2 linked regions of the Diceros bicornis minor genome follow. The protein of the gene in region 1 interacts with the protein of each later gene in a pairwise test. Links are inferred from orthologs where the notes say so. Each region holds a gene or a part of one and is shown on either strand. Other genes may lie near its edges. The genes, in order: CD63 and TIMP1.

What was found.
Region 2: the proteins of CD63 (region 1) and TIMP1 interact in binary tests that used the Homo sapiens proteins (3 or more experiments, as listed by UniProt). The link is inferred for Diceros bicornis minor from reciprocal best matches to the Homo sapiens genes CD63 and TIMP1.

The regions. Positions count from the first base shown.
Region 1 is NC_080756.1:12,933,217-12,944,619, reverse strand, and holds CD63 (CD63 antigen), read right to left. Parts: upstream 5,188-11,403; 5' UTR 5,111-5,187; intron 4,538-5,110; 5' UTR 4,527-4,537; coding exon 4,461-4,526; intron 3,565-4,460; coding exon 3,376-3,564; intron 3,179-3,375; coding exon 3,104-3,178; intron 3,002-3,103; coding exon 2,906-3,001; intron 2,794-2,905; coding exon 2,653-2,793; intron 2,447-2,652; coding exon 2,363-2,446; intron 2,178-2,362; coding exon 2,112-2,177; 3' UTR 2,026-2,111; downstream 1-2,025. Other genes in the region: RDH5 (retinol dehydrogenase 5), read left to right, coding at 407-570, 840-1,063. UniProt on the Homo sapiens protein: Functions as a cell surface receptor for TIMP1 and plays a role in the activation of cellular signaling cascades. Plays a role in the activation of ITGB1 and integrin signaling, leading to the activation of AKT, FAK/PTK2 and MAP kinases.
Region 2 is NC_080781.1:41,340,083-41,351,159, reverse strand, and holds TIMP1 (metalloproteinase inhibitor 1), read right to left. Parts: upstream 5,739-11,077; 5' UTR 5,585-5,738; intron 4,689-5,584; 5' UTR 4,681-4,688; coding exon 4,560-4,680; intron 3,800-4,559; coding exon 3,720-3,799; intron 3,324-3,719; coding exon 3,197-3,323; intron 2,952-3,196; coding exon 2,827-2,951; intron 2,018-2,826; coding exon 1,847-2,017; 3' UTR 1,744-1,846; downstream 1-1,743. Other genes in the region: SYN1 (synapsin-1), read left to right, coding at 9,781-9,843, 10,624-10,766, 10,865-10,939, 11,037-11,077. UniProt on the Homo sapiens protein: Metalloproteinase inhibitor that functions by forming one to one complexes with target metalloproteinases, such as collagenases, and irreversibly inactivates them by binding to their catalytic zinc cofactor.

The sequences.
Region 1 (11,403 bases):
TCAGGACTCAACGCTGTGTTTGGGAGCTATGGAATGGGGTTCTTCTAGGTCAGGAGTTGGCCAACTTGTTCTCAGACCAGATGTGGCCAGCCGCCTACGGCTAATACTGCTTTTTACATTTTAAGTACCTACATAACATCATTAATTTTTAGGTCTGCAATGGCCCTTTAAGAAGTTTGCCATCCCTGCTCTAGATCATAGGATATAAAGGAAAACAAACTTTTAAGAATACCTCCCTCCCTGTGCCCCACACCCCCCTCACCCCAGGGCAGCAAGGATCTCCCTGTCAGGATCCCTGTCCCTGGTCTGTGATAACTTCCCCATCTCAGCACCCCCACCCAGGTCCCTAAAGATCTCCTCTCTAGAAGGGCAAGAACCCAGAAGCCTCCCTCTGCCCCCACTGCAGGCGGGACGTGGCTTCTTTTGGCATCCGAGTCTCCATCGTGGAGCCTGGCTTCTTCCAAACCCCTGTGACAAACCTGGAGAGTCTGGAGGACGCCCTGCAGGCCTGCTGGGCACGGCTCCCTCCAGCCACAAGGGCCCACTATGGGGAGGCCTTCCTTACCAAGTGTGAGTAGCCCACGTAGGGACGAATGAAGGGAAATGAGAGCCAGAAAGGCCTGTCTTGCACCAGCCGCTGGGAGGAGGTAGGAGGGGTGAGGGTGACGGGATGCCACAGGACAGCAGGCCGTGTGCGACCTGCCTACTCCCAACCTGGGGAGGGGACTAAGGATCCTTCTCACCTCTGCTGGGCCACCAGCCCCAGGACCCAGAAGACAGGGCCTGACATGGGCTGGAGTGGGAGAGGGACACTGATTATAACACCCTTTGGGCTGCAGACCTGAAAGTACAGCAGCGCATCATGAACCTGATCTGTGACCCGGACCTGACCAAGGTGAGCAAGTGCCTGGAGCATGCCCTGACTGCTCGTCACCCCAGGACCCGCTACAGCCCAGGCTGGGACGCCAAGCTGCTCTGGCTGCCAGCCTCCTACCTCCCAGCCAGCCTGGTGGATGCTGTGCTCACCTGGGTCCTTCCCAAGCCTGCCCATGCCGTCTACTGAGTCCAGCCCTCCAGCAAGACGTTTTTCTTCCAGGACAAAGACTGATTTATTTCTGTCCCCACCCTGGTACTGCCGGGTGCCTGGCACAAAATAGGCACTCAATAAATGTTATTGAGTATTAAAAAAACACCGTAGGTGGGCAGAAATGGAAGTGCCCAGTGGGAAACTGACCCCATTTAAGTGCTAACTACCTTCGGCTGACTTACTGCCCAGGGTCTCTGGCCTGTTTAGTGCCTGCAAAACACCTAGCACCCACTAGGGGGCGCAAGGGGACTATCACATCTTTGAAGCTGCACCTGGAGGAATGGCTACCAGAGGGCACTGTTGGACGTCTCCTTTATTTTCTATGTGGAATAAGGTCACAATTCAGTGTTTGGAGTGGAAATGGTCATTATCTGTTTTTCTTGAAGGCAGGAGGGAAGGTGGTGAAAAGGGGTAGGGGCCAGGCTGGGTGGTTTCCATGGAAGAAACACAATACCCACTAAATTCTATCATCTAATCAAAGTCAAGACAGATGGACACTGGCCACACAGGTCACCACCCTGAAAGGAGCCAGGCCTGCTGGGTGCAGGAGGGAGTTGCTGGGCCCTGTGAAGTGAGCAGAGGACCAAGGAGAAGATGTCCACGATAGACGTGGGCAGGTCTCTTCCCGTGGAGGACCTTTGTGGGGAGTCCCTTTGACTTCTGCAGGAGATGGCTTCAGGAACGCTTCAGCACTGAGCCTGGCAGCACACGACTAAGAGACAGGGAGGGCAGGGGGCCACAGCCTCCAGATCCCCGCTTCCACTGCCAGCCCAACAAACGCCTTCAGCAAAATCCTCCTTTCCCAACACCCCCCAAAATAGGCCCCCTTTCCCAGGGGCGCAAACAGAACAAGGTCCCAGAGGACGGGAACATGGATGAGGAGAGAAAAGGGATGAAGTATCACTCCTGAAGACAAACTGAGACTCCCTCTCTTCTCGGTCTGGAAAAATAATCCGTTTAATTGAAAAACCTGGAGTATAGGACTCCATTCCCCTAGATGAGGGGGCTGAAGAGACCAGACCCCCTACATCACCTCATAGCCACTTCGGATACTCTTCACGAGGCAGCAGGCAAAGACGATTCCCAGGACCTAGAGGGAAAGATAGAGGGGGCGTGGAGAGCGGTCAGAAGGGTGAGGAACCCAGGACCCGCCCAAGAGACCCCAAACACAACCAGGGCTCCCCTCCCCAGGCCAGTACCTCCTGCTCAGCACCCTCCTCCCCGCTGCCCCTCCCACCCAGATGCCCTGGACTGAGTCCCAAGGGCGCCTCTCACCTCCACAAAGGCAATACCCAGGGCTGCGGCAGCCACCACCAGCACATTTTTCCTCAGCCAGCCTCCAATCTTCTCCACACAGCCCTGAAGGGTGACAGGCACATAAGGCAAGAATACCATCAGAAACTTCCCACCCACCTCCCTCTGTACCTTTCACTCCACCCCCAGCACGCCTAGATCCCCTCCCCAACCCTGACCACAACTTCCAGAGCCCCAGCCCTCTCCAACTCCACCCCTGGTCCCTCTCACCAGGTTCCCCAAATCCCCTGCTGTCTCAGCCTCCTCCCTACCTCGGTATGGATACTCTTCTCGGTGGGCTTAGTCCCGCAGCCCTGAGTGACATTGACACAGCAGGAGTCAGGGACTGAGCCATTGACCTTGAGAGGGATGATCTCCCAGTCAGTGTAATTAGCCGCCCCGCAGCACTTAAACTGAAGGAGAGGAGAGAGATGGGGAAGAAGGCTGTTGAGTGGACCTCCACCTTCAATATGGAGATGAGACTCTTCTTCCCCCACTACCCCTGCTCCCAGCAACCCCACTCACTTCCTCCTGCAACTTGTCCAGGACTAAAGCCGTTTGGTTGTCGTGCGGATAACTCTGCATCTGCTGCTTGAACTTCTTATTAAATTCTGACATCACCTGGCAGTAGGGAGGAGCACTGTTCAGGTCAGAACTCTGAGCACCTGGGCCCCAGAGCAGCCAGGCCTGTGGGGCAGGGTCCTCCCCTCAGTCCCCACTTACCTGCTCTCTAAAGACATAGCCAGCAATGGCTGCAGCCACCTCCACCAGCGTGATAAGAGACAGGAAGATGGCAAACTACAGGCGCAAAGGGAGGGAATCAGGTTTGGAGTCTGGGTGAGAGGGGCGTGCTGTGGCCCAACCAGTCTCTGGAACACTCACAAAGGTTTTCCTCACCCACCCACCTCACTTCACCCACCCTCGTGAGCCCCCTCCATAGAAATGCCCTCCAGCAATCCCAGGCAGCCACGCCAGCCCCGTTATAACCCACTCACTGTGATCATAAGACAGTAGTTCTCCTTGCAGGCCCCACAGCAGCCCACAAAGGCCACCAGGAAGAGGAAGGCACCCACTGCGATGATGACCACAGGCACCAGACAGCCAGGGGTGGCATCCTGGATATTGGCCTGATTCAAGATGATCTGAGCCATTACACCCACAACGATCAGTCCCACTGCACAGGCCTGCGCAGAGGGCACATCAGGGTTAGGCCAGACCCACAACCCATCAGCCCCCCATGCTGGAGGGCAGCGGGTGCACCCAGGACACAGACTTAACCCCATCCCTGGGGAACAGATTGTCACACTTCCAGGAAACTTTTGACTGTGGGCAAGGGGGATGATCCATCCTTGCCCCATAGTTTGATCAAATACAAAAAGAGAAGTTCCAGAAAGCCTTGACCCCAGGGCATATGATCCTAACCTAGAGCAGTGCTCCCTCTAGGGCTCCCAGAACTGCCCTCGCGCTATCCTCTGAGGCCCGCCCCATCCTCATCAGCTGAGACTAGGGTTCCTCAGGCCAGCGACGCCAGCGAGGAGAAGAAAGGAGGAAAAGGGGGCAAGAGTAGGGTGCTCTCCCAGGACAAACAGCAGCCTCTCAAGCCAAGAGCCCAGGGCAGGAGCAAAGTGAGGTAGGCAGAGCGCTTCCCCACCCCCGAGCAGCTGGAGGGGTGAAGAGGGATGAGGGAATGGAGAGGAATGAGGGGTGGACAGGGGAGATTGGAGAGAAGAGGATGGGGAACGCAGGGAAGCCCCGCGGCGATAGCATCAGGCCGTTGGCGTTGGCTGGTTGCCCCACTGCCCTTATCACAAGAGGTTGGGTCACCAGACAGGAAGGGCCAGAAGGGGCTTGGGGGAGGGCGCTGCGCACCCAGACTGGCCATTCTGGACCAAACCAGCCTCGGAGGTCCCTGAAAGCTGGAGGAGGGGGGTGGCCGTGCTGTCTGCGGCCCGTTCCTGGGCTTTCCTTCCACATCTGGTCTCCAGCTGCCTTCATTCCTGGTCCCTCGGCCCTCAGCACTCCGGAGCCAGGTCTCCCCGCACCCTGCCAGCGCGCCCGCACCGGCCCCCTCCCCACTCACGCAAAAGGCCAGCAGAAGAACGTAGAGCAAGAACTTGACACATTTCATTCCTCCTTCCACCGCCATGGCTGCCGGACCTGGGCCGAGGGGAGAACAGGAGGATTAGAGCCGGCCGAGGGGGGACGTCGGTCTCCGGGCTCCCCGCCGGCCCTCGAGGCCTTCCCTGCCCGGCCCCCATCCCCAGCCCCTCCCACCCGGAAACCCGCGGTCGGATCCACGTCTCCCAGCCCCCTCTTCCTGGCCGGAGAGAGGTGGGGGCGACCGCCGCGAAGCCCGGACCCCGCCCCGCCGCCTCGGGGCCCGGGACCGATCGGAGGGCGCCCCCGGGGCCCGGCCTGACGCCCACCCTCGGCCCGCCGGCGTCAAACACCCCCTCCCCACCAACCAGCCCCGAAAATCGGTCCTCAGCCCCAGCCCGGCCCCCGGCCACCGTCCCCTGGGCTCTGACCACCCCCAAATAAGTGCGGCCACCACCCCACCCCGCCCCGCCCGCCCGGGCTCTGGAACTTTTCAAAGTTGCGAAGTCGCGAGGGCCTCGGGAGCGGCCGGAGGGCAGGCGGGTCTCCGGAGGCCGGGCGAGCCCCGCAGGAGGGAGCTGCCGGGCCGCCCCCGCCCCGCGCCGCGCCGCGCCGGCCGGGGCCGCGCCTCACCTGGGCTCCCCGAGGCTCGCTCCTCTCCCGCCGCGATCCGGGGCTCTCTAGCGGCGCCCCCCGCTCCGGCCCCGCCCCCCGCCCGCGGCCCCGCCCCGGGCCCCGGCCGCCTCCCCCGCCCAGTGGCCGGCAGCCTCCCTCATGTGACGCGGGAACAGCTGCGGCCTGAGTCACCCGGCCGGCGAGGGGAGGGCGGAGCCCCCCGCCCGGCCAGGGCCACGTGGCCCCTATCGGGAAGACAGCGCCCCAACCCGCACAGGGAGTGTCCGGGGCAGGACCTCAGGGCGCCTGGGGCCCTGCTGGCGCCCGCAGCCCACTCGGGGCAGGAGCCGGACCGAGTGCCGCCTTGTTCTCTCCGGTTCAGGGAAGCGGAAGAGGCGTGAAGGAGCCAAAGGAGAGACGAGCGGCCCAGAGCTACCCTCTGAGCGCACGGGCCAGGCAGAGCTGAGGCAAGGTGACAAGATGGTCTGCCAGAGGCCTCCTCGTCCCCCACCCGGAGCCCACTCCCTGCCTCTGGCTCCATCTCTGTTCGAGCCCCCACCCCCATCCCCCAGTCCGCAGAGGGCGCCTTAGGCTCCCTCGGATCGGGTGGGGCCAGAATAAACACTTCCAGAAAGTCCCTGGCCTCACATCCTGGGAGTCCCTCAACATTCTAGAGTGGGTGTTCCTGTCCCCTCTCATTTAGTCCCTTCTCCATTTTCTAGAGCTCCTGAGTAGTGGGCTGAGGAGGGGAGGAAGCCCTTCTCAGGGCCATCCCACCCAGTCAATCATGACACATCAGAATCCAGTCCTTCCCTATGGGGGAGGATTGACAAGGTCCGTGCTCCCACCTCTCCTGGCTCAGTCCTTCTTGGTGCAGCCGTGGGGGAGGGCACTAAGGCAGGCATGGCATATATCCCTGGATTTCCCCCATCCCATCCTAGCTGACAGACCGTCTCATGCCCTAGCGCAAAGCCAGGTGAGGGCTGGAAGGGGGGTGTGGCAGCTCAAGCTGCCTCTCTCCCGTGTGTGCCATGGTGGTCCCCAGAAGGAGCTGAATAAACATGCCAGGGACAGAACCAGCCCCACCCTGCCAGCCTGGACCCCAGCCCTTAGGTTCTTATGGTCCTGCCTCAAGAACCACTTTCGGAGTCTTGGTGTGTGTACACGAAGAAGGAAAGAAACTGTAAGAGCAAAAGGAAGGAGATCTGGGCTGGACTGAGAACCAGTTTCAGGGTTCTCAGGAAGGGATTACAACCTTCCAGCAAGACACACCAAGCCCTTGCTCCCCAGTTATCACAGCAGGCAGGCTGTGGAGGAGGAGTGAAGATGCTGGAAAAAGGAGTATTCATCAGTTTCTTTATCGTGCTGCCCCTAGATGCCAGACATGTGCTAGGCATGGGGCCAGGAGGGCAAGGAAGACAGAGGCCCTGCCCTCTGCCAGGCAGAACCAAGCTTACCCTGTGAACAGAGGCAGAACCCCTGGTGGCAGCTGGACCAGCTCAGAGGGAGGGACAGGTGGTGCCTCTGCCCGAAGTAAAAAGAAAAAGAGTGGATTTCACAGAGGTGGGTGGTGATTTCCAAGGTGACCTTAGAGAATAAAGGGGCAAGCTGTCAGTTCCAGGGACAAGAAAAGGGCCAAGTGTAAAAAAGGAGTAGTTTAACAAGTCCCTGTAGGTTGGGGTTGGCTGGCTCAAAGGGCTCAGGAAGGATGTGGTAAAACATGGACGGGAGGGAAGGTGGTCTGAAGTCAAGATTGAGAAACTTTAGATGCATAACAACCAAGTGTAACGCTTGGTCTTGGACTGAATCTTTGAACAAACCAACTGTGAAAGACATTTGGGGAACAATTGGGGAAATTTGAATATGGGCTGAGAATTCAACATGAGAAAGTAATTTTGTTAGCTATGATGATAGTATTCGATTATATAGGAAAAGTACTCTATTTTTTAAAGATGCATACTAAAATATTTAAGGGTGAAATGTCATTTCTGTAATTGCTTTGGAATACTTTACAAAACAATATGAAGCAAAAAGAAGACAGTCTAGGTGATAGGACTGTTGAGAACCTGGAAGGCTGTGTTGGGAATGTTCTAAGGTGATGGGAGTGTGGACATTACTGAGATGGTGAACCATCTTGGGATTGGCTATACTGAAATGAGGAGGAATGAATGTCAGCTGACCTGGAGGATAGCTGGGATATCACTGCCACAGTCCAAGGAAGAGCCGATGAAGGCCAGAACCACGGAGAGTAGGGAAGTCGCAGAGGCATTTCCGAGGGCACACGGAAGGACTGCAGCACCGCTTACCTGTGGGAGGGGGCGAGGAAGTGCAAGAGTCTGAGACGACTCAGAGCTTCCCAACCTGGGCCCCCTGGGAAGAGGTGGTGGTCCCCCAAGGGGCACCTGGGTGGAGACGTCCCCCCAGGAATTGGGGATGTGAAACTGAGGAGAGAAGAGCAGTCCGACCAGAGATAAAAAGTGATGTCTAAACCTATAGATGGTGAGGGCCAGAACAAAGAAAACAGAGGGGGACAGAGCCTTCTGTTTAAGGAACATGGGGAGGAGTGAGCAGCCAGCAGAAGAGGTGAGAGGGAAAGGAAGTTGCAGAGCTGGACCCCTGCACTCCGTTGGCACGGTGCTGGGCACTTATACCCATTACTCATTTAATCCTCACCACAACCCTGTGAGGTCCGTATGACTTGTCCTGTTTTAGGGATAAGGAAACTGAGGCTTGGAGACAGGGAGAGATGTGCCCAGAGCCCAAGCTGGGAACGGGCAGTGTTAGGATTTGAACCCAGATCTCTGGGGGTTGCAAAGCCCAAGCTTTTTCCCCTCTCTCTCAGAGGCCAAGAGAAAAGAGAACTTCACGACAGTGGCCAGAAGCGTCCAATAGTATAGAACGGTCAATTTGGATGAAAAGCAAGAGAACGCCATGGGATGGGGTGGCCATCTCCAGAGCAGTGTCAGGGCAGGATCCAGAGCACCTGCAGGGCCCCGGGAGGGGGGACATCCAAGTGGGCTGGGGCAGAGCTGAGGTGAAGGTCAGGAGAATGGGGCCGTCTGAGAGGAACACCAGGAGAAGGAGCAGGTGCAGAGTGGTGGCAGCAGCCTGGTCAAGCCATGGGAGAGAAAGAACGGTGCCAGGGGAGACAGGAAAGGACAGGGCCAGGGAGACCCCGGAGAACAAGCCTGTGTGGAGTTGGAAGTGAGGGGTAAGAAAGGCACGTTCCTAATCAAATTTGTAGAGCCAAGAGTAGAATGGTGGGGGCCAGAGGCTGGGGGAGGGAGGAAGGGAGAGTTAGTTCAGTGGGGGTGCAGTTTCAGTTTGGGAAGATGAAAAAGTTCTAGAGATGGGTGATGGTTGTGGTTGCACAACAATGTGAATGTGCTTAGTGCCGCTGAACTGCACTTAAAAATGATTAAAATGCAGGGCCGGCCCTGTGGCTTAGCGGTTAAGTGCACGTGCTCCACTCCTGGCGGCCTGAGTTCGGATCTGGGCGCGCACCTACGCACTGCTTCTCCGGCCATGCTGAGGCGGCGGCCCACATACAGCAACTAGAAGGGTGTGCAACTACGACGTACAACTATCTACTGGGGCTTTGGGGAGAAAAAGGGAAAAAAAACGAGGAGGATGGGCAATAGATGTTAGCTCAGGGCCAGTCTTCCTCAGCAAAAAGAGGAGGATTGGCATGGATGTTAGCTCAGAGCTGATCTTCCCCACAAAAAAAAAAGAAAATGGTAAATGTTATGTATATTTTAACACAATTTCAAAAAAAAGAATCACCCACTCCCCTAGCCTGGAAAGCTGACATAGAGCCCTGTGTGCCTGCTGGGCTCCAGGAAGGGCCTCTGAGAGGGGAGGCAGCTGGCCTCAGATCTGGCCCTTCACATCACATCCTTCAGAGCCTCCAGCACCTGCTCCAAATGCCTGGCATCCAGACATGCCACCAAGCCACCCGATTAGCTCAGGCCACTGTCCCTTGGGTGCCTGGCACTGGTTGGTGGTAGGTGAGCTGGGGTAGGCACCCTTGCCCTTCCCCACAGAGCAGAGCCAGGCTCTCTCCAGCTCCACCACGCCTCCACCCAGCGCCAGCAGCCGGGCTTGGGGGCCACAAGTATCCCAAGCGAAGGTGGTGCCATCTGAGAGCACATAGGCATCGGCCAGACCCAGTGCAACACACGGCAGCTTGTAGCCAGAGCCCGAAGCCTCCTGAAGGCCAGATGGAGACAGGGAGCCCAGTGCCTGCTGAACAGACACCTTGTCCCCCAACTCAGCAGGGCCACCAGGCCCCCTGCCCATGCCCCACCGGCAGGGGGCTGGCTCAGAGATGAGGCTCAGGTGCCCTGGAAGGAGAGGCCTCTGTGAACTCGAAACTGCCACCTGCAGGGGGGGTGGGGGAGCATGAGAAAGGAGTGAGGAGACATGGGGAAGGAGAGGAGGGAAGAGGAGAGTTGGGAGAGAGGAGAGGAGAGACAGGAGGGAACAGAAGAGGGTGAAAGACGGAGAGGCTCGGGGAGATGAGAAGGGAAAACAGACATGAGGGAGAGGGGTGGGGAGAAGGAAGAGGAGGAGACCCGGATGGGAGAGAGAAAGGAAATGAAGAGCCATCAGCATCAAGGCCATCTCTTCGCTGGAGAGGGTAGGAAGGGTGGTGGCTGGAATTTAAGGTCAAGGGATTGGATCTGAACTGGGGGCCTGAGATTTAAATCCAGAGGCCCCAGCTCTGGATATGAGGGAGGCATGGGTGCTTGATGACCGCGCCCAGATTGCAGGGATATATCAAGGGGGTTAGAGATGCACTGGCGGGGTCTGGGGCGTAGAGAAAGGTCTCCAGTCACTGTGGTGGCCAGCTCTGACTCCCCAACCTGTCTGGGCAAGGCTAGGTCACCGCACTGTGGTGCCCAGGAGAACATCATCATTGCGAAAGTCACCTTACATCCTCACTGCGAGGAAAGGGAAACTCAGAGAGACGAAGCCACCCACTCAGGGGCAGCCTACAGGTGAGACCTAGGGTCTTGACACACCCACTCCAGGGCTGGGTGCACCACGCCTGCCACCTGCAACAAGTGCCCTGAGGTCAGAAGCCCTTGTGCGAGAGCACACATAGGTGGGGTGACTTTGGCTAAACTCTCACCTTCCTGAGGCTCGACTTCCACCCAGCTAGGCAGGAAGAAAACTATTCCCTTTCTGGCCCCACAGGGCGCCTGTGAGGCCCACAGAAGAAATGAAGGGGATCTGTTTTGTTACCTTAAGATGATAAAGGCTTGTGGCCTGCCAGTGGTGTAGCAGTTAAGTGTGCGCGCTTCACTTCAGCGGCCCGAGGTTCGCAGGTTCGGATCCCGGGTACGCACCACTTGTCAAGCCATGCTGTGGCGGCACCCCATATAAAGTAGAGGAAGATGGGGATGGATGTTAGCCCAGGGCCGGTCTTCCTCGGCAAAAACAGGGGGATTGGCATCGGATATTACCTCAGGGCTAATCTTCCTTACACACACACACAAAATAGATGATAAGGGCTTTATCGTACCCTGTTTGTAGACTTACAGGAATTAAAATGATTTTGCTTTGAGAAATATCTGGACTCCACCTCACTTGGGGTGGCCAAGGAAAGGGTTGGGAGGGACAACCCAGCTTCCCTTGGCCCCTCCTACCCACTTTGGCCTTGGCCCAGAGCTCCAGTTCAAGCCCCACCGCCCAGCTCTGTTCCAACCCCACCCTGCCCCACTCCCCACTGCCAAGCTCCGTCCTCAGGGCTCTTCCTCTGTTCTTACCCATTTCTTTCCCTACTCCTTGGGCCTCCAGCCCCTGACTTCTGGCCCCTTGTTCTTCCTACCCTTGCCTGGTCTTGTCCCAGCCTCCTCCCAGCCGGTGTCACTATTACCAACAGGGTCAATCTAGATGTCCAGCTGGTGAGTGGGTAGGGCGGGCAGCCCACTCCTCGGGCATTGCCTGGGCCAGGAGCCCGGCTGCTGTGTGGTTCTGGTCCAGAACCAGCTCAGGAGTGCAGCAGCCTCCACCTGAGAGTCACAGACCCACACACCTACGGTTTCTCCCGGGATGGAGCAGACATGAACATGCGAGAAATGAGACAGAGGCAATGCTGCAGTGGGGTGGTGAGCTCAGGTGTCTGTTCCTTGGGGCTGAGAGGCCCAGAGGCCTAGGCAGGGGCTGAGGAAGAATTCATTCATTCGTTCATCCTTCTTTGTATTGAAAGCCTAAACATGCCAGGCACTGGGACTATATGGAGATGAGTAAGACATGACTCTGCCTTCAAGGTGATCACAATCTGTGATACAGTGTGGTGAGGGCTA
Region 2 (11,077 bases), on another chromosome or scaffold:
TGAAAAGGGCTGCAGCAGGGCCTGGTGGTCAGCCCTGTCCATGAGGCATTGATGTCTTGATCAGGGCACCACCTGCAGGTGGGCAGGTCGGCAGGAGAATGGCCTCCACATTGGGTTCCACTGCCACTTTCTACTTCACCTTCCCCCCAGGGGTTGAAATAGCTGAGGGCTCAGGGAACAGTGTACGAGTCAGGGAGCTAGTATTAGGGTTCGTACTGTCAGGAGCTGCCAAACTCTTGTGATACGGCCACCAGGACCAAACCAGGGCCCAGGCCCTTCCCTTACAGTTGTGCTCATCAGTAAAGGCTGCCATTTGCCCCTTTCGGTGCGTGGGCTTCAGATCCTCCCAGGACAGAACCAAGGTGTAGATGTTGATGGAGAAATTGTTGCTGCAGTGTGCGTCCCCTGCACAGGCAGATGAGCACTGGGGGCTCAAAATCCACCTATCCCCATCCAGGACATACCTTGGGTCCTGGGGTAACCTTCCAGGAGTGCAAAAGGACAGGGCCACAGAGGATCCAGGGGGCCATACTTAGTGAGCCAGAAGACCCTGGAGGAGACCAGGGTTCTTATTGGTAGGAGCAGTGAGTAGTCTGATGGGAGGGAATTTGGGGGTCCTTTCCCTCACCAAAGAAGATATATTGGAGCCTTTTTTCAAGCAGATTCACGTCAATAGGACACTTGAGTGTTCCACTGAATGTTTGCACCAATCTGAAATTCCAGTCCCCTGGGGCCTTACTTAAGTCACTTTGGGGGCATGAGCCAGGGACTGAGAAGGGCCCGGAGGGGCCTGGGCCCAGCTACAGGAGCAGGAAGGCCGAAGGAAGGGAGTGGAGGGTCTCTCACTCAGGTTTTATGGGGTAGGATGAACCAGAAAGGTGAGGCTCGGGTCTAGAGGTCCCCGTTTTAGTAAAGGGAGAGCTGTGTAGGGGGAGGTTTTGGGGGGCTGCAGGTTGACGTACCTGGTTGGTCCTGATATTGAACCCTACCTGCACATCACTGCTGTCAATATTTCCTTCAAAGTTGGTCAGAGGAGTGAGTGGAGGAGAGGCAGGGGGAGGGGGAGAAGGGCAGAGCTTGGGGATATCTAGATCACACCTTCTCCCCATCCCTCCTTTTCCCCAAACAACTACCTCTAAGGAATCTCCTGCAGGCCATGGGTGGGGGGCCAGGGCTACCCCTTCCTCCAGAGTCCCTGGTTGGGTTATGGGGAGGGGGCTCTGGTTGCCTGGGGGTTTCCCTTTTCACTCAAGTCAGACTCACAGGACAAAACCTAAGGGTAGGGACAGTAACACCCACAGTTTGGATGACATCAGGACAGTGCCCGAGGGAGAAGAGCTGTTTGCCCGTTGATAGGGCATTCGCCAATGAGCCTGTCAACTGGAGGGATTTGTGAACGGGGGATTTGCCAAGGAGGCAGTGATTTGTCAGCAGGGGGATAATTTATGAACTAGAGAGCCCTGTGCAAATGGAAATTATAAATTAGTCTAGTAAAATGTTATAAAGTATTGAGTAGAGAGATTATCCAATAAGTTGTGGTTGATAATGCAGGTTAAATTACCATTACTGATGTTGCAGATCACCAATGCTAATGCCAATGTAGAGGATTATTACCAAATCTTCACATTTCATGTAAAATATAAAAAGCCAACATTTTGCACCCCTCACTCCCCACAGCACTGGTCCCAGGGTGCTCCCCCCAGGTCATGGGTTAGTTCCCAGACACTACACGGGGACACTGCCTGCTGGATGGTAGTTCTTTATTTCACTGTCTTGGAGAAAGACAGACAGGAGTGGGAAAGAGGGTGAACACTGTGCAGGCTTCGGCTTCTGTTGGGGGCAGGATTCAGGCCGTCCGGGGCCGCAGGGACTGCCAGGTGCACAACCCTGGCTCCCGGGGCAGGCAGGCCAGGTAGCGGCTCTGGTAGCCCTTGTCAGAGCCTGTGAGGAGCTGGTCCGTCCACAAGCAATGAGTGTCATTCTGAAGTTTGCAGGGAACGGATGAACAGGGAAACACCTGGAGGAGGGGAGCGAGACACATCTCTGAGGGCTTCTCCTGCCCCTACCTCCCCTAAGGAGCAGAACTTTCCCCTCCTCAGCTTTCAACAGTGAGCTGCTGAGACCTGGTGTTGCCCCACCCGGGCACAGACTCAAGAACGACCCCTCCCACTGGGGAAACAGTCACTGGGTTCGACAAGGTGACAGTAAGCCAGTGAAAGGATCAGTTTCTTGGAGTAGTGGTTGGGGAACAGTCACAGCAGCATCAGTCAGGCAGGTCTCCCCGGGAACTGTCCCATAGGATAGGGAACAACTGGCAGTAGCAGGGAACAGCTGGCAGGTGGGGAACTGAAGCATAGGAAGGAGCCGTGGGGCTCAGAGACAGGCACTGGGGTCAGAGGACATTCTGGTCAGTCAGGGAACAGTCTTGGAATAGTCAGAAGGGCAATGTAACACGCCCTTGTGTGCGGAACAGTCAGAGCTGCAGAGCAACATCAGATGTGCTGGGGAAGAGTCAGTGGGTTTGGGAAACAGCACTTTGGGTTCTTGGAGAACATTCTAGGGAACCAAGAAACAATCCCAGGGGGTCAGGAATAGACAGCGGGACTACAGAATAGTCACAAGGGGGAGTTAGAGGGACAGGAAGCAGCCAGAAAGTCCAGGGAACAGCGAATCCCCAGGTATCAGACACTGGGTAGATGACAGATGACTGTTCCAGGGGAACAGCCATAGGGACAAGAAATAGCCGGAGGGAGCAAGAAACAAGCCATGGTTTGGGGAAGAGCCCAAGGACGGCTCTCCAGGGGCGGGCAGGGCCCGGGCACTCACTGTGCATTCCTCACAGCCAGCGGCGTAGGTCTTGGTGAAGCCCTGGCGCTGAGCGGAGCTCAGACTGTTCCAGGGAGCCACGAAACTGCAGGTGGTGATGTGCAGGTTCCCCTTCCATAGTTGTCCTGGGGGAGGGGAGGGGGCAACAGGCGGCTTCTGATTGGCTGGGCCGGGGCAGGGCGGCGCCTGACTGCCGTCCCCGGAGCTCAGACCCCCCGCTGGGCAACCCCCCAGCCTTCTGATAGGCTTAAATTGGGGCGGTCCCCATTTCAACTGGGACCATTCCCACAGAGCCTCGCCCCCTCACGGTCGCCGGGCAGCGTCTGAAGAGCGGGTTGGCGTGGCACAGGGCGAGGGGGCGGGGCCTCACCAGCGATGAGAAACTCCTCGCTGCGGTTCGCGGAACTATGCAAGTATCCGCAGAGGCTCTCCATAGCCGGGGTGTAGATGAACTGGGTGTCAGGGGCATCCCCCAAGGCGCTGAACCCTTTGAACATCTGTCGATGGATGAGGGAAAGAGTCTTTTTTACTGACATATCCTCCCACTCCACGTTCTTCCCTGAAGTCATATAGCATCCCGAGATCACAGCTAACTTCCTCGCCAACTGGTGGTCAGAGGCTTTTTTTTTTTTAAGATTTTATTTATTTATTTTTTTCCCCAAAGCCCCAGTAGATAGTTGTATGTCATAGCTGCACATCCTTCTAGTTGCTGTATGTGGGATGCGGCCTCAGCATGGCCGGAGAAGCGGTGTGTCGGTGCGCGCCTGGGATCCGAACCCGGGCCATCAGCAGCGGAGCGTGCGCACTTAACCGCTAAGACACGGGGCCGGCCCAAGAGGCTTTTTTTTTTGATGGGATGTTAGGAACTGCTGGGGAAGGGTCAGGAGGGCTACCTTGGTCATCTTGATCTCATAACGCCGGTATGGGGTGGTCTGGTTGACTTCTGAGGTCCCCACGAACTTGGCCCTGATGACTGCAGGAGAGGAGGAAAAAAAGTGAATCAAATGGACTGCATGAGCCAATAAAATAAAATAATCACAATAATACTGGCAAAGTACATACTTCAATAGGGGTGGCTGGATGCCAGGCAGTGCCCTAAGCGATTTACACATGTGTTAAAGAGCTCATGTGTATATTAAGTGCCTGCTTTTGCCAGGCATTGCTCTAAGCCTTTGACATATATTCACCATGTGTTCACTCACTCAGCTAATATTTTGGAGCGCCTGCTGTGTGCCAGGCACCATTCTGGGTGTTAAAGACACAACGGTGAACAAAACACAGAAATCCCTTCCCTTGTGCAATTCGCATTCTAGCCAAGAGGAGACAGACTCAAGAAAAGCAAAATAAAAAGTGCATGGAATGTTAGAAGGTATTAAGTGTGATGAGGAATTTCAGAGCTGGGTAAGGGGGATCAGGAGTACTAGGGAACAGTGGTTAAAATTTTGACTAGGGTAGTCAGGGAAGGCCACTCTGAGAAGGTGACATTTGAGGCAGCCACCCATGTGGATACCTGGGGGGAAGGGTATACCAGGCAGAAGGAGCAGCCAGTACAAAGGCCCTGAGGCCGGACTGGGCCTGGAATGATCAAGGAAGCATGAGGATGCCAGTGTGGCTAAAGCAGAGTCAGTGCAGGGCGGAGTGGAATTGTTCTAGAGGTAGGCACCATGTGAACCCCACTGGACTGAGAGGGAAAACAAAGCACAGAGTGTGTGGGCAGAGTGGGGTACACTCACCAAGGTCAGAGCTGCAGAAGGCCATCTGCGGGTGGGGTGGGGCACAGGTACAGGCTCTGCTGGGGGCTGTCAGCCACAGCAACAACAGAATGCCGGAGGCCAAGGGTGCAAACGGGGCCATGGTGTGTTCTGCAGGGGTGGGGAGAAGGGGTCAGGGGTCTCCCAGCCCAGTTGATCCACGGACCTGGGCAGGCCTCCTATCCCATCCTGCCCCCCCCAAGGTGGGATTAGGGACCATACTAGGGCTTGAGGGGTTGGGGAGTTTGAAGATTTTAAGGGGGTTGGGGATTTGAGAGCCCAGAGGAGTTTAGGGGTTTAGCGGGTCGGGAGAGTTTAGGAGTTATGGGGTTTGAGCGATGTAGGGTACTGGAGAGTGGGGTGATTATGAGGTTGTGGTGTTTGGGGAATAAGGAGGCTGAGGGAGTCTGAGGATTTAGGGGGTTGGGGAAGTCGGAAGGCTGAGGAGTTGGGGGTGACGCATTTGGGGTTTGGGGAGCTGAAGGAGTTTGGAAGTTTCCAGGCTGTGCATATTGAGAGAGAGAGGAGGCGGAGGAGTTGAGGGAGGCTGAGGAATTTGGAGGAGGTTGGGGGCTTAGGGAGTTGGGGGAGTTTGGGGGCATAAGAGGGTGGAGGTGCCTGCGAGATATGGGAGCAGAGGAAGTTTTGAGGTTTAGGGAGTTGGGATTTAGGAGTCAGGGGGATTAGGGGGCTTGGGAAATTTAGGGAGCTTCAGGGGTTTGGGGGGGATTTCGGGGTCAATGAGGGAAATTAGAGGAGTTGGCAGCTTAGGAGGCATCTGTGATATTAGGGGCTCATGGGTTTGGGGGAGTTGGGGTGGATGTCAGGGGTTCAAAGGAGTTTGGAGTGTCAGGATTGGGGGAGCAGATCCAGCCCCCCACCCTCTTCCCCTTGACCAGCCCAGGGTCCTGGTACCCGCCGGCCAGGCTGAGCAGCCAGGCTGGCTGTCTGGTAGGAAAGCTCCAGCCCAGCTCCAGACCCTGCAGGCCACCGGGGCCTCTGCCTACCTCTGGTGGAGTCTCTCTAGGCGCTGGGTCTGCGGCGATGGCGGCAGGGCCCTAGCAGCGGAGGATAAATGTCCACGCGAGGAGCGGGGGTGGCAGCCGTGCGGAAACCACAGGCCTCCAGGCTTCCTGGATGCATTACTCATCCGCCCACCATCAGTGGAGGCCAAGGGGCGGGCCGAGGGCTGCTGAAAAAGAGATGCACCCTCCTCCACTCCCTCCCCCTGGGCCTCGCCCTGGCCATCCTCCTCCCTCATCACGGCGTCTGGCAACAGTCCTTCCAGGAGGCCTCAATGGAGGGCTTACAGGCAGGATTCCCTCCAGTGCAGTTCCCTAAAGTCTCCAAACTCGCTTCGAAGTCTATCCAATCACCCACATCCCCCCAACTCCCCATGGCTGAAGCCCAAATTAGTTCATTCCTTCAATAAACACTTCTTCTGCACCTACTGTGTGCCAAGCACACACAAAAAACCACGAAAATCCCTCTCCTGGTAGCTCCGACATTCTGGTGAAGGGTGGGGGAGACAGAGAAGAAACAAATCAGTAGAAGCAGTGGAGGGAGATAAGGCAGGTGAATGGAGCACTGAGGCCCGGAGAGACTAGGTGACTTATCCAAGACCACAGTTAATAAGTGGCAGAACTGGGATTTGAAATCAGGTGGCCTGGAGCCAGAGCCTGGGTCTTAACCGCTCTCAAAAATCACAGGCAAATAGCCAGCATTTATATGGCACCAACTCTGTTCTAGGCACTCCGCATAGTTTATCTCACTTAAAGCTCACAGTAAGCCTCTGAGATGGGCACCAGTATTATTCCCATTTTACAGATGAGGAAATATGAAGTGTAGAGAGATTGAAGAACTTTCCCAGGATCACAGGGTATGGCTGGGATTTGAACCTAGGCTAACTGGTGCCAGGATCTTAACCCAGGCGTGGCACAGTCCTGGCAAGCAGAGAAGGTACTGGTGAATCCATGAGCTTTGGGGTGGGGGGAGTTGAATGGTGGTGAAAGAGGCCAGTGAGTCAGTAGAAAACTGATCCCCTCCCATCCTGCCCTGCCCCTTCCCCACCAACCCTCCCACACCCCTGGTGGGGGGTGGGGTGAGGCAATCCCTGCCCTCCAGCTTCCAGATGCTGCCTAAATCTTCCTTGGGGTCCTGGGAAAGGGCTCGGAGGGCTGATTAACATCCTTCCTTAGTTCAGGGAGGACAGACCAATAATAATATGATGGGAGTGATGATGGCAGCCACTTATTGAGCACTTACTGTATACTGTGCCCTAAAGTCTTTGGGTAAATTCTCTCATTCAATCTCCATTACCCCCTTGCTAATTAAGCTTGATTAACTCAGGGAGGTCAGCCCATTCAACAACAACAGCAATACCCCACAACAAAAACTACCAGCAGCATTTATAGTGTGCTTCCTGGGTATCAGGCACTGTTCTAAAATCTTTTTGACTGCGTTCTCTCTGAGTCAATCCTGATTATCTCCTTGCTAATTAATGTTGGCGAACCAAGGGATGTGAAACCAATAATAATAATAGTACCCAGCACTTTCTGAGGATGGAGGCTTCCTGTGTGCCAGATACCGTGCTAAGCGTTTTTCTCCCCGAAGTAACTAATCTATCCCTCACAACATCCCTGTGAGTTAGAGACTGTCCATATTCTCATTATACAGAGGCGGAAACTGAGGCACACACAAAGGGGTCGAGGGAATGAGAGTGAAGAAATGGCTCTGTTGGGAGGACAAGAAAGGGGAGAAGGGAAGTGCACCAGGACTTGGGAGAAGCTGATTGTGAAAGTGGGGGAGTGAGAGTGCACGAGAGCGGGGCTGACTCAGTGCGGGGGGATGCCCCGAAGGGAGACGTGGGAGAAGGGAAAGTCCTGCTGCAGCCCCTCGCTGACCCTGCTTCTGACGCCACCTCTGTGCTCTGAAACCTGAGTCAGCACGGAGTTTTGCCGACTGTCTATATGTGCGAGGTTGTGTGAATCTGGGTTATTGTGCAGGTTTTGAAACTGGTGGGGTTTCATGGAGGGGTGTCGGGCCGTGTGACCATCTGGGGAGCTGGATGGGTGTGGGGGCTGTGGGCCCAGCTGGGTGTGCAGATGGGACACACGACAATCCCCACAACACACGAAGTGCTTGGGCCTGATTGTGCCCTTTGTACAGATCAGGAGACTGAGGCACAGAGAGGGGTTAAGTGACCTGCCTGGGGTCCCACATGGCCGTAGGACGAGGAGAAGCCAAGATTCAAACCTAGGGCTCCCCAGGGGATCCCAGAGTGCAAAGGTCCCTGCATGCACACATGTGCAGACACACACACACACATACATAGCGTTGTGTTCAGGCTCAGGTCCAGAGGAAACAAGGTGGGTTTATGAAAAGAGGGGCCTAGAAACCTCGGGGTGTGTGCGTGTGCGCTTGCGTGCAGCTCTCTGCTGTGTCTCTGCCTCTGAGAGTGGCGTGTGTGGCTTTAGGTGGTGTGTGCTCCCCGTGTGGTGTACGTGTGTACCTGTTTTGTACAGCCCCGTGTGTTTTGTGTTGCTTCTGGGAGTCGTGTGTCCACCTCTGTAAAGCCCGTCTAGGTTGCACACGGAATTGTGGATGTGGTGTTCACCTCTGGGAGCTGTGTGTGTGCCTGAGTGTTAGCTCCTGTGCCGCCTCTGGATTGTTTCCCTGTTATGCTAACTAGAGGATCCCGTAACCCCCAGCCCAACACGGTGCCTCTCAGCGCCCCGGAATGACGCCAGGCATTTGGGAAATGAGGAAGGTGGGGGTGAGGCCTGAAGGTCAATCGGTCACCCTCAGCCTGTGGGCTTCCTGTGCCTGTCGGGAACCGGGAACCGCCCCCGGCCCCAGCATCCCCTCCGGGAAGGCGGGAAGGCCGAACCCCGTCTCTCCTGGTGGGGCAGCCGTCCGCTCGGCCGAGGGAGGGGGCGTGGCCCTGCTCGTGCATCCGCGCATGGTGGGGCAGGGGTTGGCCGAACCGGCCCCTCTAGCCCGCCCCGGGTCGGGGTCTGGGGAGACTTGAGGCATCCCCACTCCAGAGTGTGCGAGTGTGAGTCCGTGTCTGTGCACGCATACACCCAGGAGTGTTGTCTGTATACTTAGGAGGGTTGTGGGTGTCTCTGATTGTATGTATGCCTCTCCGTTTGTACATATGGCATATTCTCTGTGTCCCTAGATATACTTTTGTGTGCCCAGGTGTGTGGTGTGGGTCTCTATGTTATAGGTCGCAGTGGTTACATGAATCCCTAGGAGTGTGTGTACCTGTGTATGTGGTGTAGGTCCTTCTGTTTGTTGTGCACATGCCTAGGAGTGGTTGTATGTCTGTGAGTGTTGAATATGTTGTGTGTGCCTGTTAGAGTTGTGTGTGCCTCTGCATTCTGTGACTGTGCCTCTGCGGGTTGTTTGTGTCTATATTGCATGGGTAATCATTCACGTTGTGTGTGTCCCTCTGTTATGTGGCTTTGGGCGAGAGGAGGGTGGCTGTGTGTCTGCGCCCAAAAGTGTTGACTGTGTGTCTACAAATGTTGGGTGTGTGCTGTTGGGCAAGGAGGCTGGCCAGGAGTGCCGGCCCCAGCCCCACACTAACCACCTGGCTGGCTGAATGACTGTGTGGGTCTCTGTGCAGCCGGAAAGCGAGGTGTGCTCTGGAGCCTGTGTTGGTTATGGGTCTTTCCATCTTGTGGGTCTCAAAGTGCATGGGCATCTCTGGGTTGGTTTGTGTAGATCTGAGCCCTGAGGGTTTGTGTGTATGTCTCTAGGTTGTGTATGAGCGTGGATGAGGCTTACCTACAAGGCCTGACTGAGGGGTCCAGTTGCTACATGTTCACCACCACACCCCCACGCACGCACATGCACACACTCACTTCTCTATCATCCATTCACTGTAAAAATAGACTTTCCCTTTTCCGGAAAAGTCCCCCACCCTTATCCCATGTGTCTGCCCAGGAAAGCAGAGGCGGGAAGTCTGCCACTGGAGGTGGTGGAGGGAGGAACAGGCGGCCAGGGTTCTGGGTTCGATTCTGGGCTTGGAGGCACTGTGTGACCCCCCAGCTGCTGTCTGCCTGTCTCTGACTCGCCTCTTCTGGGAAATGGCTCCTAACGTGGCTCCCACTGGATCGGCTCCCCTCAGCACCACCCCCACCCCTGGTGGTCAGCCCTCCTGCCCTGACCATGCTCTGCCTTCCCACCCCACCAGCTCAGCAGCACAACGTACCCTGTGGTTGTGAAGATGGGACATGCACACTCTGGGATGGGCAAGGTGAGTCCCCAATTGGGGTGCGTACATGTGGGTGTTTGTAAATGGTGCATGCTCCTGGCATTGTGAGTTTGTATGTAGGTGTATATTGTGTATTCAGTGCACATGAGTGATTCCGTATGATTGTGTGTCCTGGGGTGTCTTTATCTATTTGTATGTTTTTCCTCACATTCTTAGATTTTGTTGGCCCAATTTACTATTATGCATTCTGCCAGTTTTACGTGTCGTTATTTTGTTAGTGTGTCCAGAATTGTGTCTGTGTACACGCATGCCTCTGTGTGGAACACACACAATGTAATCTTTTATGTTCAAGGGTCTTGGGATCCTGTATGCTTTCTACCCATCTGATATTGTCTCTGTGTACATAGAAAGCAGACTTGTAATTTGTGTGTTTGAGTGTGTCTGTGCTTCTGTATGTTTGTATATTGTGTGTACAACTGATTTTGTGTCTGGGTGCCCATGTGCACATAACTGTATATATACACAATTTTTCCACAGCTTTATTGAGACATAATTCACATACCATACAACTTACCCCATTCAAAGTAGACAATTCAATCATTGTTTACAGAGTTGTATACACCCAACTTTGTGTCTGTGTGTACATGTAAAAACCAGGAGACCCAGGATTATGCGTGCTTGAATGCCTTGGTGTGCCCGCTGAAATTTCTGTGTATGCAGCTCACCTGTGTCATTTGTGTGCACGCCCCTGCCCCGAGGCACCCCCACTGCCCACTGCTGCCCAGTCGTGACCAGGCCCTAATCGCCACCCCACTCCCACAGGTCAAGGTGGACAACCAGCATGACTTCCAGGACATCGCAAGTGTCGTAGCACTGACCAAGACGTACGCCACTGCCGAGCCCTTCATTGATGCCAAATATGACGTGCGTGTCCAGAAGATTGGGCAGAACTACAAGGCCTACATGTGAGCAGAGTGGCCAAGGCCCGGGTAGGGGTCCCCTGCCCTGCCCTGTGCAGCCCAGGCCCCCCTGAGCCTCTCTCCTCTCTCCTCTTGTCCCCCAGGAGGACGTCAGTGTCAGGCAACTGGAAGACCAACACTGGCTCTGCGATGCTAGAGCAGATTGCCATGTCTGACAGGTGGGTGGCCAGAGCTCAGGCGGGAAGGGACATGAGGGTGGGAGTGTGGCTGCCCAGGCAAGGTGCTGACAGGCTTCCTTGCCCCACGTCTTGGCAGGTACAAGCTGTGGGTGGATACGTGCTCAGAGATTTTTGGGG